Linked DNA regions of Coturnix japonica. The protein of the gene in region 2 purifies or fractionates together with the protein of the main gene of each other region. This does not show direct contact. Links are inferred from orthologs where the notes say so. Each region holds a gene or a part of one and is shown on either strand. Other genes may lie near its edges.

Region 1 (7,477 bases), on a different chromosome or scaffold from region 2:
AGTTCTGTATACTATATGAGATGGTACTTCTGTGATTTTTATTTTTAAGAGCAAAAAAACCGAAAAGTAAAAGCAACAAAAAGAATCTTAGAAAGCAGTCATCTTGACTGAACTGGTTGTCAGATACTGCAGCAAATACAGAGCCCATTTAAAAATGACTTAAATGATCTGAGTTCTTGTGGAGAACCATCCGTTTTTAAAGGAATTCTTAGAAATGTGTCCGGTCTCTAAGCCTTGCAGTGAGTAAGAGGTGTTCTCTCATCTCTTTCCGTAAGCAAAACACAGACGTCCTTCAGTATTTAACATCTAGTCAAAGCTAAAGGATCACATTCAGTGTAAAATATGATAGCCCTGGATCCTGTAGGACCTCACGAATATTTTTATGACAGTCAGTAGCCATATAAAGCTGGTATCTGGCCATAATCTGTCATGCATCAGTCTGCTTCCAGATAGGATCAAGGGTACTCTCTGAATGAACGTGTTCATTGCTCTGTGTTCAAATTTAGGCACAGCAGGCTTAAAATAAGGTGTGAGTGTGTATCTGATTATTGTTTTCCAGGTATTCTTTAAAAATTTCTGTGGAAGTTCTTTGTGCTTGGAGGCCAAACGCTTTGCATTTTGTGAGAAGCTTTATTAAAGGCTGCCTTACACAGGTGCTGGACTGAGTGCCAGACTTGACAATGGCTACCTCTCATTCACATAACTTTATTATTTTTTCCCAAGTTGATAATGGGATGGATGCTTCTTTTAAACAATTGCATTTGAATATCTTCTTTTATTCAGTAATATATTTTCAAACAGTCATTTTAATAAATAAAAATACACCTGATGCTAGTTTGGAAGCTCTTAGAAGTATACAAAGAAAAATACTCTGGGTTCAGTTGACAATGTAAAGTGGAGCATGGGAGTAGTTTTTCATATCAACAGAACCCTGAAGTGCAGATGAACCATATAGTACTTGAAATTTATCTGTGTTGATGTAAAATAACAGTATAGCTTCCAGCTTATTTATACCGTGGTTTATTCTTGCTTTTTGTTTTTAATTGATTAATGGCTTTTGAGATACGTAAGAGGAAAGCAGGTATTGTATTTATAGGGAGGCTGTTTTTTCTTTATTTAGCAATGTTCTGCTTTGACTACAGGCTTGTAGATCTTATAATTCCAAAATGATCTCAGAATGGGTACTGCTACTTTTTGCACCCTTTTCTCTTCAGAAAGCTTTTTTAGTACAATAAAACTGTCAGCTATTTCCAGTAGAAGTTTACTTCAGTAAGTTCAGTGTAATCTAAAATGTCTGTATGAGAAAAGCAAGTATGGAAACCCTCTCATCACATAATATAGATTTAAAAAATAGAAGTAATCTTTTCATTATTTGTCTTTTCCTCACAGAAGTGGTACACTGTGGCTTTTCTTCCTTTTAAGTAGTAGTAGTGATAGGAAAAGTGCATGTATGGAAAATCATGCATTTGTGAAGATGGTCAGAATGCATGAAACAGGAATTGAGGTTTATATTGACAGTTCTATTCATTATGGCTTGAAGTAGGATGTGTGTTTACATCAGTGTTTGCCTTAATCCTCATGCAGTAACTAATGACTTCTAGTGACTAACATTACCTCAGAGATCTGCTCTCAGTGTACCTATTTGCTAGTTGGGAAGTGTGTCACCAATGAGCTTGCATTACATTCAATATGAGTTTTTTTCCCTTGAATATTTCTTCCCTTTCTGCTCAGTTGTTCATTGTCAACCTCTGCTTATGTAATAGTATTGTTTGCCAAGGGTGGTGTAGAAAGAAGCTGGTTTAAAACATCTGATCTATGTATATTGATTGTTGAGCTTTCTTTTGAAGTTTGAGAGCTGTAATGTTTCTAGGAATTTAACCTAACACCAGCAACGTGTGAGAGGGCTGGAAGTCTGCTCAGGCCTGTTACTGATATCTGCTGGAGAAGAAGCTTCACCTTGTATTTGTATAGACTGTGTTTTATGTGCTAAATAAGTTTTTCTGCAGTGTTCTTCCTCCTGTAAATAATGATACGTATCATTTATCTTAGGAAAATACTTGCTTGTTCTCTAACAGTCATTTATAGTTGAGGATGATGGTGTTGCTTGTGTTTCTATGGTATGCCCCATTTGCAGTAGTAAAAATGACCTAAACCATTTTCTTTACCGCATCAAATGTAAGTCACGTAGAACAGCAGTGGCAGATATAAAACTATCTGTAGTTTTAAACTTGGGCACTTGTTATATGAGCAGGCAATACTCAAGTTGGCTGAAACCAAACATTTAAGAACTTGGGGGTATTTATGATTTTGTTGTGTTTTTTACGTGAGCCATTTGTTTATGCTACTTACAGAAAATGAAATCTTTGCCAGTAAGGTAGTATGCGTTTGTCTGCAAAAATGTACCAAAAGATCTTTCTGGTTGTCATTTAATTCTGTATAGTTATATCAAGTGAAAATGGAACAGTGACAAATGCCAGTGGAGAAAAAAAAAAAAAAGTTGCCTTTTTGTTTTTTTACCCAAGGTGTGTGCATATAGAAATACACATATACATTATATATATGCACACATTTTATATATATATAATGTGTATGTATAATATATATGTATACTTTATATAAATAAATATGGTTACATATGTAAGATCCTTTAACTTTGAAGAAGAGCATTTGAAAATTAAAAAAAAAAAACAACCTTCAGAAGATACTTTTTGTTTTACTTTTGTTCTCATAAATGCTAGAACAAGGTGAATACCTTCAGTTGATAGCACAAAGATGGAACATGTTTTAGGACTCTGAATAGATGTTTTCCTACTCTGCAGTATGTGGTATGTGTGCCAGCAGCTCTTCTTTAGTCTGAATTTGGAACATGCCCAGTGGTTTATGGACTTCTAGAGAAACTCGAAGATCGTGAAAAGGTGCACTTGTTGTTTGTCTATAGGGGCTAACCCCTGGAGAACTGGCTAAAACATGGGGAGACTTACCAGCCCTCTGGAGAGGCAGTTCCCTGCACCAGTCAGAACAGCCATCTCTTGACTGAACAGATAAATTAGGTCATGCACAGCTGTGTAACAACAGGCTTTAGACACTGTTCAGCACAGAAGTGTGTTTTTAATACATGTGGCAGGCAGTAAGAGCAGCGCGATGGCTGGCACACAGCACAGCCTTAGTCCAAGTGCTAGCCTCTCTCCCAAGGGGATCCTTGCATTGGGGTTGGAAGTGGAGGTCGCTCTTCCCTTTGGGTGGCTTTCCTAGAGAACAGTGCAGAGAAGTGCTGGAACTTCAGAGGAGCATCACAATGATGCAGATCAGCAAGAGGCAGATTAAGATCAGGCAGAAATTCACAAAGAGCTCCTGGAGCCTTTGGCGTGCTTGTGGGTTGACCTCAATAGTTGAGGCTCTCCTCAGAGCAGAGCGGGTTATGTATTGGACCTTCTCCATGGCAGCAAGAAAGCAGAGGGCACAGATCAGAGGTTTTAGAAGTGCAGGAAAGGAGAGGAGTTGTCAGGAACAGTGTAAAGTGCTTGTTATCTTCTCTTTTTTGTTTAGACAGCCTTTGTGGAGCTGGGAAAGCAGGAAAGTGAAGAGTTAGAAATGCAGAAGTAAAGTGCTTCGATAGGTGCAGATGGAGATTGTTTTAAGGTTCTAAGCAGCTTGAAGTAAACACATTGTTTTCACAAGGGCTTTTAGTTTAAAATGATGTTTTTTAAAATGTTGTTTTCCAAGTTCAGGTTTGTGCTGCATTATATTTCTCCTCCCATCACCTGCTTTTCAACAGGGGTTGGAGACTGTAAAATGGAAATTGTGGAAATGTGGGACTTACCAGGTCCTGCCTTTTTATATCCTTATCTTTCCATCCTTTGTGGCCTGAGACTGAGGTTGCTTTCCACCCTTCTCCCCCCATTACTGCTAGTTTAAGCACACCTGAAGCTTTGTGTTAGGGCTGGAGGCCAGGATGCCTGGCTGTATAGATGATCAGACTTGTTTTGGAAGGGAGGAGAATTAATCTTTATGCGCTGCCATTCCAAGTAAAAATACTTCATATGGTGTGAAATTAAAAGCTAAACATGACTGATTCAAGGAATTTTAGTAGTATATTTTTCATTAGACAGGATAAAGACTAAAAGGTTCAAGTACACCGGCTGCTATGGGAGCAAGATAAAGCATGTATATTACTTTGTCTCCTGCTTGAAATAAAACATGCACTCTTGCATCTTCTCCCTTTTGATGGCCGATGGAAGCACAGGGTGTTGGTTCTCTTAGAAGTCCCAGTGGGTTATAAAAGCCCTACTGTGCAAATCTTCTGTGTTGAGAGGCTGTGTGCTTGCTTAGCTCATGGCAAAGGGTAGGTGCTATAGCAATGAGGAAAAATTAGTTCTTAACATGGTGATACTGTATACATCTCTCAAATGTTGCTCTGAAAGCTGAACTTGCCCCCTGGTGGTTTGTGAGTATATACTGTAATAGCATCTTTGACACAAGGCTTCTCCTTATCTTGTTTGGTGTGTTTTGTTGTGTTTTTTTTTTTTTTTTTTTTTAATCTCTGGTGAATTATACAGATACCTGCCTTCCTCTCTTTCTTATATGCCAGGTAAAGGCCAACAGTTGGTTAGGTATCTGCTGCATGGTTTATAGGACATTCTGACTGACCCAGCGATGTTTTATCACCCGTGAGCCTGTCTTCAGGTGTGTCTAAAACAGAACCTTAAAATGAAACAAAAGCATTTTTCAGGCTCTTTTTGAACCCTCCATGTGGTTCTCTAAGGTTAGATGGCAGAAAACATGTATTTTCAGTATAGATGAAAACACTGATTTTAAAAAAAAAAAAAAAAAAAAAAGATTTTTGAAAGGAAGCACATTATACATGGGATTTTTTAAATCTACTTTTAGGTGATTCCATGTGATGGTATCTCCAAAATTTGAACTTCAGATTTTTCTTACAGTGACTTGAGCTGTCGTTGGTCTTAGCTTCACTGCAAACAAAGTGCACACTGAGGTCTTAGTTTCCTAGCACTGACTGTTTTTCAGCTTTGTTTGACATAACTCTGTACCTGTTCTCATCTATGTAAGCAGTGAAGGTGCTCAGCAGGCACAGTGTGCTGTGCTCCTTGCTGGCTTCTGCCTGTTCCCAGGGCAAGGATTCCCTGAATTGGTGGGTTGGCATTTCCAGCCTTGAGTGGGCTGCTGTGGGCCAAGCTGTTTGTCTTCTGCACAAGACATAGGAGGTGAACCACTGATGGACATAAGCAAGTACAGCTAGGTTTATGGAGCTAGCTTGTGTGATGGACACTGTACAGAGATTAGAGTTTCCTGAGGATGGCTTCACCCCAAGTCACTGTCATTTTTATTTTTTTTTTAACTTATGGGGTGTGCAGCCTGTGGCCTCTGTGTGCAGCCTGCTGACAGCGAGCTTCACCCTAGCTATTCCATTTCTTGGGGGCACTCAGAAGAATTTGCAGAGGAATGGGATTGTTTTACCTGCTCCTATACACACTGAACCCATTTCTGTGGGCTATCTTAGATATCCTGTATGCTTGCAGGCACCTGTATATCATGATGCTGAATACATTTCCAGGGGCAGTGACTGAAGACATTAAAGTACTGCTCTAAAAGATGGGCTGGACATCACAGGTGAGGAAAACATCACCAGTTCAGGGAAGCAGAGAGTCTCAGGGAGGACATCAGCACACAGCAGTCACTGTGCCAGAGTAGTGACACAAAAGGATTTAAAGAAGAAAATAGTAGAGTATATTAGAGTATATACCAATTATTGCTAGAAAAATACATAGAAAAGGGATGAAGAGAGGTCAGATTACAGTAACAGATTGTTTGGGGTTTGGAAATTTTTGAAACACCTGCATGTTGCTATTCTTACTTAGCCTGCCTGTGGGAGAGGTAAGCAAAGGGAACATATTCTGTATAATCAAGTTTTTCTTTACAAGTGCATAGTTTGAAGCAATAAGCACATACCTTACTTGTTAGTCCTCCATGATGCTGTCACCACCTGAAGTCTGCATAAAGAGAAACAGAGTTGGTAATACAGCTGCAGCTGAGTAGCCAACAAGGTCAAAAAGGGCAGCCTGACAATTAGTCTAAAATGAAGGCAATCACTGCACAGATATTAGTTTTCTTTGTTGTTTGCCCACTGTCCGTGCTTTAGGTCAATATGAAGAAGTATTATGCATGCACAAAACCACATCTTGAAAGTGTAGCAAATAGTGATATTTACTTGGCTTTGAAGCCAAACTGCATTGTCTTTGGGTGTAATGAGCCCAGAGGGGAAGCTGTTGGTTGTGTTGGTGCACAGTTGTCTTTAATGCAGGGCTGCTAATGGATGTGAAGGATCTGTCTCATGCCCAGGACAGCTATGCAGAAAGACATGACATGGTTAACCCCATGTTGCTGTGTGGGGTATCCCCTACACCTGGGGCCTTTGTGTGAGTCACCAGTTACAATTACTGCCTCCCCCTTCACTGACATATGACTGTTCCCCTGATTTGTGTCAGGCTATTTTTATCTTTGTTTCTGGATGTCCTTCACCATGAGAGGAGATCTGTGACCAAAGTGAAAACTGTGGGCCACGCTTGTTCCTGGTGCAACTGCACTGACTCCATTGAAGTCACACAGGATAAATTTGGCTCCTTTGGAAATGCCACAGCAATTTTAGACACAGGCTGTTTCCTGTCATATGTTTACTAAATGCAGTGGTGATATCAGTGGCGTGGGTCTGACATATTTGATTTGTTGCTGCCCTTTACAAGCAAGCTAAGCCCTGAAAAGGCATTGTTAAGCTGCTGCACAACAGGAGTTTCTATTTCACAGATTTTTACAATGAAATTTTAAAAACAAACAAAAAAAACCCCAACAACAGTGGTCTCACTTCGTATACTGGAAGTAAGTCTCTAATAATCAGGATAGCAATGCAGAAAAGCACTTTTAAATTCTGTGATCCTTGTTTTACATGTGTAGAACTGTACCCAATGTAAGAAATTCCTCTGTACGTTTGTGTGAGCAGGGTGGTATTCCTGGGCACATTCTCTGCACACTCAGAGGAGATGCGTTTAAAGGATTTGTGTGCACAGTGCCAAAGTGAAAAAGAAATGCTGTGAAAATAATGTTGACTGCTGTCTTTTGTCCCAGCTGTCCATGGATTTTAAGGACACTGGTGTACTAAGTCTTACAGGGAGTTATAGCTCTGCCTGCACAGTGCGCCTGCAGTTAATGTGTACGCATGCTTGTCATCTCTGCTGGCTTCCTGTGTTAATGTATAGATATTATTCCCAGTTGCACTGCTTTTTTTTTGAACCTGGCTGTAAAACATCACCTCACTGACCGTGTGGAGCCATTTCACTTGAAACTTCCCAAGTCTGAAAAGTATCCTTTTCCGAATGGGGAAGTTGACAGCTGATAAGGAACCGGTCTGAATTGGCTTGAGAGACTTCTAGTGGGTCTCTGCTCTCAGTTCAGTGAATAAAAGCTT
Region 2 (7,477 bases):
AAATTAAAAACATTACAGACTTGCCATACAAAAGGAGCAGTAAGAACCCAATAGAGCGAGGCTCACCTTCTGAAGAACCCTAAGGGTTCTCTTAGTTGCCTCAGTCTACCCTTATCTTATTCTTAGGAATGGGAAACTGCAATACTGGAGTATATAAAAGTTTCATGAAGGTTTGCTTTCCTAGCACTTACCTATCTTTATTGCTAATTAGGTTTCCCCAACCCTTCAGAGCAGGCATTCTCACTGGTTGAGCTTCCATGTATTAACAAATATTCTATGTCCCAACTTTCCAAGTCTAAAGCAACAGGCAATGAATAAACAGACAAATATTTAACTTCAGCAGCACTTACACTTCTCCCATGGGAGCGTATGTCGAACCAGTTACAGTAAATTCATTCAGAGAACAGCTATCTCCTTCTACTCTGTCCAGGATGAACATCTGAAATTAGAGTTAGAAGCATTACTGCCTTTGAATAGTCATTAATACACAAGATTTAAAAAGGCCTGAAGCAAAAAGGTACAAGAAACAAGTCCGTGTTCAATATGCAAACTAAACAAAACTAGATCTTGATCCTGTATGTATGTGAACAGCTCCCTGATCCGTTAATGCACAGAAATCAGCACATCTGCCTAACAGATCGCATTTGAGAAGTGAACGGAGGCACAAGGAGACAACAAGTTGAAAACAGATACTGTGTACTCAGTATCAACTGATATTAAGATCATTATCCTGACCATGCCTCCTAGGCTTTAAACTTGTGAATTAATTCTTGTTTATGTTTTAAAGAGTTCCAATCAAAAGAAGCACAGGACAGCTTGGGAAGGGACAATTCTTGCCAAAGCAAAAATACAAAGCATCTGCAAATAGCAGAAGCTTTCAGAAGTAGAATTCAAGTGCTGAAATACATTGAGCTTCCCTTAATACCACTGAAGGCATTTTGCATCCTGGCTCTTGCTAAGTCCTTTAATGCCCAGTGCACTGGTAGATGAGAAACGTTCAGACAGCTCGAGTGCCCAGGCAGCACAGGATGGAGTTATTTTCAAATGCATACACTGATTTAAAGGATGCATTTGTGCTCTTGAGCTGCAGGAAGACTCAAATCTGGGAAAGCATAGATAAGAGCATGCTCGTACTCAACCAGAACTAAACGGAGTGGTAGCAAAGGAAAAAGTGCACTGCTCACAAAGTGCACCTTGACACAGTTTCTTACTGGTTTTCTGGTATGAGCCATTTTGCCAAACCACACTTCAGCAGCATCCTGCTTGCATTGCCTCGTGTTTTAGGGAAGCACTTTTGCAAAACACAACATTCAGCTGATGCACACGTGGTCTTCATCAGTGTCTGGAGTCCCCACACTCTTTTAAAGTCATTTTAAAAACCAAAAAGCTCAACAAGCCAATGATTTAAGAGACCACAAGGCAGAATAACTGCATTCCTGCCTGACAGGACAGGTCGGGACATGAAAACAAGGCCTCAAAGCTTCTCCTTTCCCTCCTGACTGAACTGTTTAGGATATTATTTAACACCATGAAAAACAAAACTGTGAAGTGAGTTGCTACTGTAAAAACTCTTCACAACACAGCTTAACTCTTCACAGCCACCTGCTTCAAGAGAAACCATGAATGCATGCACTGGCTACAGGTTATTAGGATTTGGCCATGTTTTTACCAGACTTTGAAATTAAGGTCAACTTGAGACAGCTACAGAATAATGAGGACCCAGTAAGAAGCAAAGCACAAGACCTGGAGTACTCAGCCCTCTGAATGTAAGGAGCGGTGCCTTTGGAGCTCCTAAATAAACACATCTGAAGGTTCGTAACTGATGAGTTTACCATGAAGCCTTCTGCTTTTGGCATCTTTGTTTTTGGCAGCATTCATTTGGTGATAAAAAAAACCTCCGCAAAGACTAGGGCAGTTATGCAACTCTACTGCAAGTAACCTCCTCTGGAATACTGATGAGCAGCTGCTTTGTGTTTCCTAGGTATAAATACTACAATACTTAAGCAAGTAGAACAAGTCAACTGCCAGTTAAAGAAGCCGCCAACAATCACATGAGAATAAATTAAGACTTGCCAAAGATACCAGTCTGTAATGCTCAATGTTTATGTATTTGAAATTCTAACCCCATGTAATAACTGACCAAACATGTGATATCAGTGCTAAGCTGCTGAACATCCACAATTATTAAAAGAACAGAGTGCTTTCTCCATAAAATTCCTACAAAGACTTATTCAAGTATATGGGATGCACAGAAAATGGGCAACACAACATGCAAATATGACCATGGCAATGCCGATGATGGTGTCACCTGCACTGCCAAGTTGCCGGATTAGTCAGACACCATTGCATGTTGATGATGCTGCAGCAAAGTACATCTGAGCAACAGTGGATAGTGAAGATAACCAAAGGAAGGTGGGAACATTCAGTGGTGAAAATACCTCAGACTATCCAAGTTACTGCCAGCAAAGCCTTTAGATTTTCTCATTGCTAAGCTTCTCCCACCTCTGTCATCTTCATACACAGATGAACATTATTATGCTTGTAACATACCCACCCCATCCTTCTGAAACAGGACAGATCAGAGGAAATCATCAACAGGAAATTGAATTGCTTACAGACAGCCAATGGAAAGCTGCTTGCAAACCACTGTCCCTTACACCAAGAGGGGGGCGCAGCTATCTTTGTCCATGACCAAGTAAGGGAAGAGATATAAGACTTCAACACTCTACAATGGAAAACTGACCTCAACACAGCTTATCTTGGGAAAATAAAGGCAGATTTTGATGATTTGAGAACCAAAACCTCATGGTCAAAAGAACTCAAGAAACACTGACTATTCAGAATTGCTGAGGAAAAAAACAAAATGAGGTATTTCAACATACCCTGCAGACTGACATCTGATTGGTGGTCAAAGTACCAGTCTTGTCAGAACAAATAACTGAGGTGCAACCCAAGGTTTCCACGGAGGGAAGACTTCTAACAATTGCATTCTTCTTGGCCATTCTACGGGTTCCAAGAGCCAAGCAGGTGGTAATAACAGCAGGCAGGCCCTCAGGAATAGCAGCAACAGCAAGAGCAACAGCAATCTTAAAGTAATAGATAGCACCTCGAATCCAGGAGCCACCATGAACCGGATCATTGAAGTGACCGATGTTTATTATCCAAACCGCGATGCAGATAAGTGAGATGACTTTAGACAGCTGCTCTCCAAACTCGTCCAGCTTTTGTTGGAGTGGGGTTCTCTCTTGTTCAGTAGCCACCATCTCATCACGAATTTTGCCAATTTCGGTGTTGACTCCTGTTGCGATGACCACTCCCATAGCTTTACCAGCAGCAATATTAGTACCCTGATGTAAAGACAGACAGCTGTGTTTAAAAGGGCAGACTACAGAAGCAGTGTTTCAGCTCAATTGTGCAAGAGGTGGAACAGGAAGAATGTCATTCTCCCAGTACACACAAAAGAATACTCTAGTGTAGGATTTCTACTTAAAAAATTAGGGTGAATATGAACAAACACTGATCTATTGTAAGTAGTGTAAACAAATCCATCTGCTGCTAAGTACTGGCACCTTAAGAGCTTTTGTTTGTTTTAATCTGGCAAAACACAACCATAATAATGTTATTTACTGTAATACATGTGTTCTGTGGGACTCTGTGTGAATGTTTAAGATGAGTAACAACAGTTAGGCTTTCTGCAAGGAGTCCACCAACAATAAGAATTGTTATTTCAATATCTGAAAGGCATTCAACCACTTCCTTGAAACAAATTTCAATCAACAGTTTCTTTCCCTAATAACAAGCTGGTTCTCAACTTCAGCTACACATAAGTCACTTTATAAAAGGAGTTTAAGAGTTCCTTAAAGTGTATGTCCTTCAATATTCTTTCTAATGAAGGACAAAAATTAGTTTCCTCATATAAACTGGCCTCAACAAGCACCCTCACTAAGGATGGCTTTAATTAGAAGCCACTTCTAGCCTTTAATTCATTCAGTTTGATGCACATGGAGACATGCATACAGACGTGCACAGAGAACAGAGCAAGAAGTTCCACAGCCTTTACATGCACACCTTGAGTTCTCTTTGTTTTTGTTCATCAGCTTCTGTATTACTTTTTATGTTTTAAACTTTCAAGGAAAACTTACAGAGAAAAGCATGTTCTTCTTGTCTTGGTTTACAGCACGAGGATCGGGTACAGGATCAGTGTGCTTAATTACAGACACAGATTCACCTAAAATGAAGGCAACAGTCTTAAAAGATCTTTTTCTTATAAGAAAAATGTAGGCACTCCATACTTATGCTAAATATAAATAAGTTCCCTCATTCTTATGCTATTCAAGATTTGTAGTAAGAAAATGTGCAGCCTGTTTCAAGACAGATAATATTTTTTTGATGAACGATTTAATGCTTTAAAATTCACGGCTAGTTGACATTTACTATTTATGTTACCAAAACTGGCAGACAGATCTTCATGTTCCAGCTGAGAGAAAGCCACACTAGCATGCCTGGCTGATTCCTAGCTTCTTTCCTATATTCAGTAGTACTGTTACTTTGTTTTTGTTTTCAGCTAATCTGAAAAGTCCTCTAAATATAGCTCCTGCATTTCAGCCTGCATCACAAAACACACCAACGTGTGGACAGAATTTCATCAAATAAGGCTTTAGGAGCAGTAGTTTAAAAACTGCCTGTACTTTAAACGTTACACTCTCTTGTGCAACAAAATAGGTGTTACAGAAGCCACTTAGTAAGTTCGACAAGGCATTCAATGTAGAATAGAAATTATTCCCCATCCCCCCAAGTTTCTATTGTCTCTTAACTAAAAGCAATGACTAAAGAAAGCACTACAAGTCTCAGGAAGAATATTCATCTCAGTAAGGTGAACACAAATGACAAAGCCAACATATTCACCCACTAAGATTTAACTAACTACATAGGAAATGTGCTGCACTTAAACACAGTGCTGGTATAGCTAGAGACTTGTCTGTAATGTATTCTAAAACAATTAAAAGGCACTTCCAATGTATGCAGAATAGTCCCGAAGTCACGACTTGTACCTGTGAGAATGGACTGGTCTACTCTTAGAGTTGTAGACTTGATAGAAGTGATTCTTATATCAGCAGGAACCTTGTCTCCAACTGCAAAGAAATGAGTAAACTGAATTGAGTTTTGTCTATTTGAGAGATTTCTAACCTAATGTATATTAGCTCTATCAGCCACAAAAGCGATTTTCCAGTATCTACTCCAATGATTACGATTGCTACCAGCTGCTTATTGCTTCTGTGGTTTGCAATACTCTACTTTTAGGAGTTTCCAATATGCTTTGGCAAATTAAATTTGGTTTCAAAATCTGTACCTCTACTTAATCTCCACAAAACATTCCATAAATCACCACTGGTTCGCCCATCATGTGACCGTAACATGACAGCAAGGGGAGAACATTCTTGGAAGATATCAATTTCAGAATACATTTCAATAACCAGAATTAATAGCTCAGGTAAGAATCAAGTCCCCTCTTCAGAAAGGCTGTCCTAGCAAGCTGCTTTCTTTACACTAAATCAGTTTTCTGTTCCCCACAGATCAGAACACGACCCATGTTCGTTTATTTGGAAATTGCTTCTGCAGATCAGATCTGCTTTTTCTGTGTTATACACTTCTAATAATGCCAAATACGTTTGAGTTAGAAGCTAAATTCAGATCACACACCAACTTTAAGTAGTACAACTGTATTAAACACACCCCAGCTCAAACCCCTGCAAAATTTGGTAGATTACGTTGCGTTTATCTCAGTATACATTTCTATTTTGTAGAGCACAACAGCCTGCAATTAATAAAAGGGCACAAAAAACCTCCTGCAGCACGTGTTTGAGATGCCAAGGCAGCACGTGGTGCAGGAGGTAACAGCACACTCCTGTAGAGGCAGAGTTCTGCTCCCACATCTTCAGCATCCCAGAACTAATCCTTCCACCTTTCCACCTTCTCTCATCTTGTTCTCCCTGGTTTTTAAGAGAAGCTGAAGAACTAAAGCTGCACTATTTTCTTCTAATGGACACACACAGTGAAACTTACCCCTAACATAATTTACCAGTGCAATTATTCAGGTGTTAAAGTCTTTTTTTTAATTATTATTAAAAAACAATGCACAATGACAGGGGAGAACACTTCAATAACTAGCTAATAAGAGACCATTTTCTCAGTAAATAGACTCTGTGTCCCTGCAGTGAAATTAAACCAAGCTGCAATTCCTGCAGGAACTGCTTATGCAACTGACAGCAATAATGCACATTAACAAATAACACCCTGAGAAGGCAGCAGCAGTGTTACAGCCTTACAGCATACACACACACACAGACAGGAAAGCTAAGGAGCAAAATGCTGAAGAGGATTAAGTACAGCTTTGAACATTAAACTTGCACCATGTGACTTTTCCTATGGTCAAAAAAGCCCCCAAATCAGTAAAAGCAGCAAAGATGGAATAGCTTTGCTTGAGGAATAAGATGTGTCCTTGTGTAAGCATGTGTGCATGAAGGGATCCCATAAATAGACACAAATTGCCTTTTTGTATCATTATAGCATGTGAAAACTAATTTAAGCCACCATGCCCTTGAGCAGCAAGAGAAAATAGCATTAGACAAACAGTGACCTCGGCCAAAAATGGCCAAAGCATTCAATAGACTCTCCTGATGTCATGAGGAGGTTTATATGCAGACATGTAATGGCAGCTGCCTTTCAGCCATCACTGAACAACAGGCTAAGACCTCAGTGCAATGGGATGCAATGCCCATCAGCCCGGCTACACATCTTTGCACTTCTACCAATACTGAAACATTGTAATTTCAGTGCACGCTATTCCCAAGCATCATCAGCTGCCTCAACCATCCGCACTGTTTGAGAGAACACATTGTATTCACCACCACCACCCCTACTTAGAAGGCGGTAGTAAAACATCTGAGGTATTTCCAATAGGTAGGAAAGCTCACATCAGGATCAATGATGGAACTACTTTGAGAAGCTCTCTGCAAAACACTACCTACAACACTGAGCCATGTATCATCCTGGACATTCTTTTATGAGCATAAAAGAAGCTATAGACAGAAAATCACCCTGCAGTAGATAGGAACCCACAGGGAATTTTTGGTGAGCAGTCTGGTGCAGATTGCATCTACAAGGAGGCGGCTGATTTCCACATGCTTTAACACAGAGATCCATCTCCTGTTGTTTTCACGCTGTTTATTTTGTTGCTCAGCTTTATTTTAAAGCACAGAATCAGTAGAATTATAACCCAAGGCTGTGACTTGAAAAGACAACGAGAAATTGGAAAAATCTATTTGTGGTGTTTAATGAAGAGCTACCGCAGCCTGAATATAACATAACTACCATCTCACAGCATCGAGTCTAAAAGCTCCAGCCAGTCACAGAAGGATTTTCATCAACTGTTTAAAAAATGAATCCAAAACAGTCCCTTGACTTCTACCAGCAGCTC

What was found. Proteins that work in one complex are often made in the same cells at the same time.
Region 1: the proteins of ATP2A2 (region 2) and PLN purify together in Homo sapiens (affinity purification with western blotting; 4 studies listed by BioGRID). This does not show direct contact. The link is inferred for Coturnix japonica from reciprocal best matches to the Homo sapiens genes ATP2A2 and PLN.

What each region holds. Positions count from the first base shown.
Region 1 is NC_029518.1:57,226,915-57,234,391, forward strand, and holds the end of PLN (cardiac phospholamban), read right to left. Parts: intron 6,009-7,477; 5' UTR 5,968-6,008; intron 3,562-5,967; 5' UTR 3,439-3,561; coding exon 3,280-3,438; 3' UTR 756-3,279; downstream 1-755. UniProt on the Homo sapiens protein: Reversibly inhibits the activity of ATP2A2/SERCA2 in cardiac sarcoplasmic reticulum by decreasing the apparent affinity of the ATPase for Ca(2+).
Region 2 is NC_029530.1:4,546,898-4,554,374, forward strand, and holds part of ATP2A2 (sarcoplasmic/endoplasmic reticulum calcium ATPase 2), read right to left. Parts: intron 5,133-7,477; coding exon 5,052-5,132; intron 4,229-5,051; coding exon 4,143-4,228; intron 3,348-4,142; coding exon 2,883-3,347; intron 440-2,882; coding exon 351-439; intron 1-350.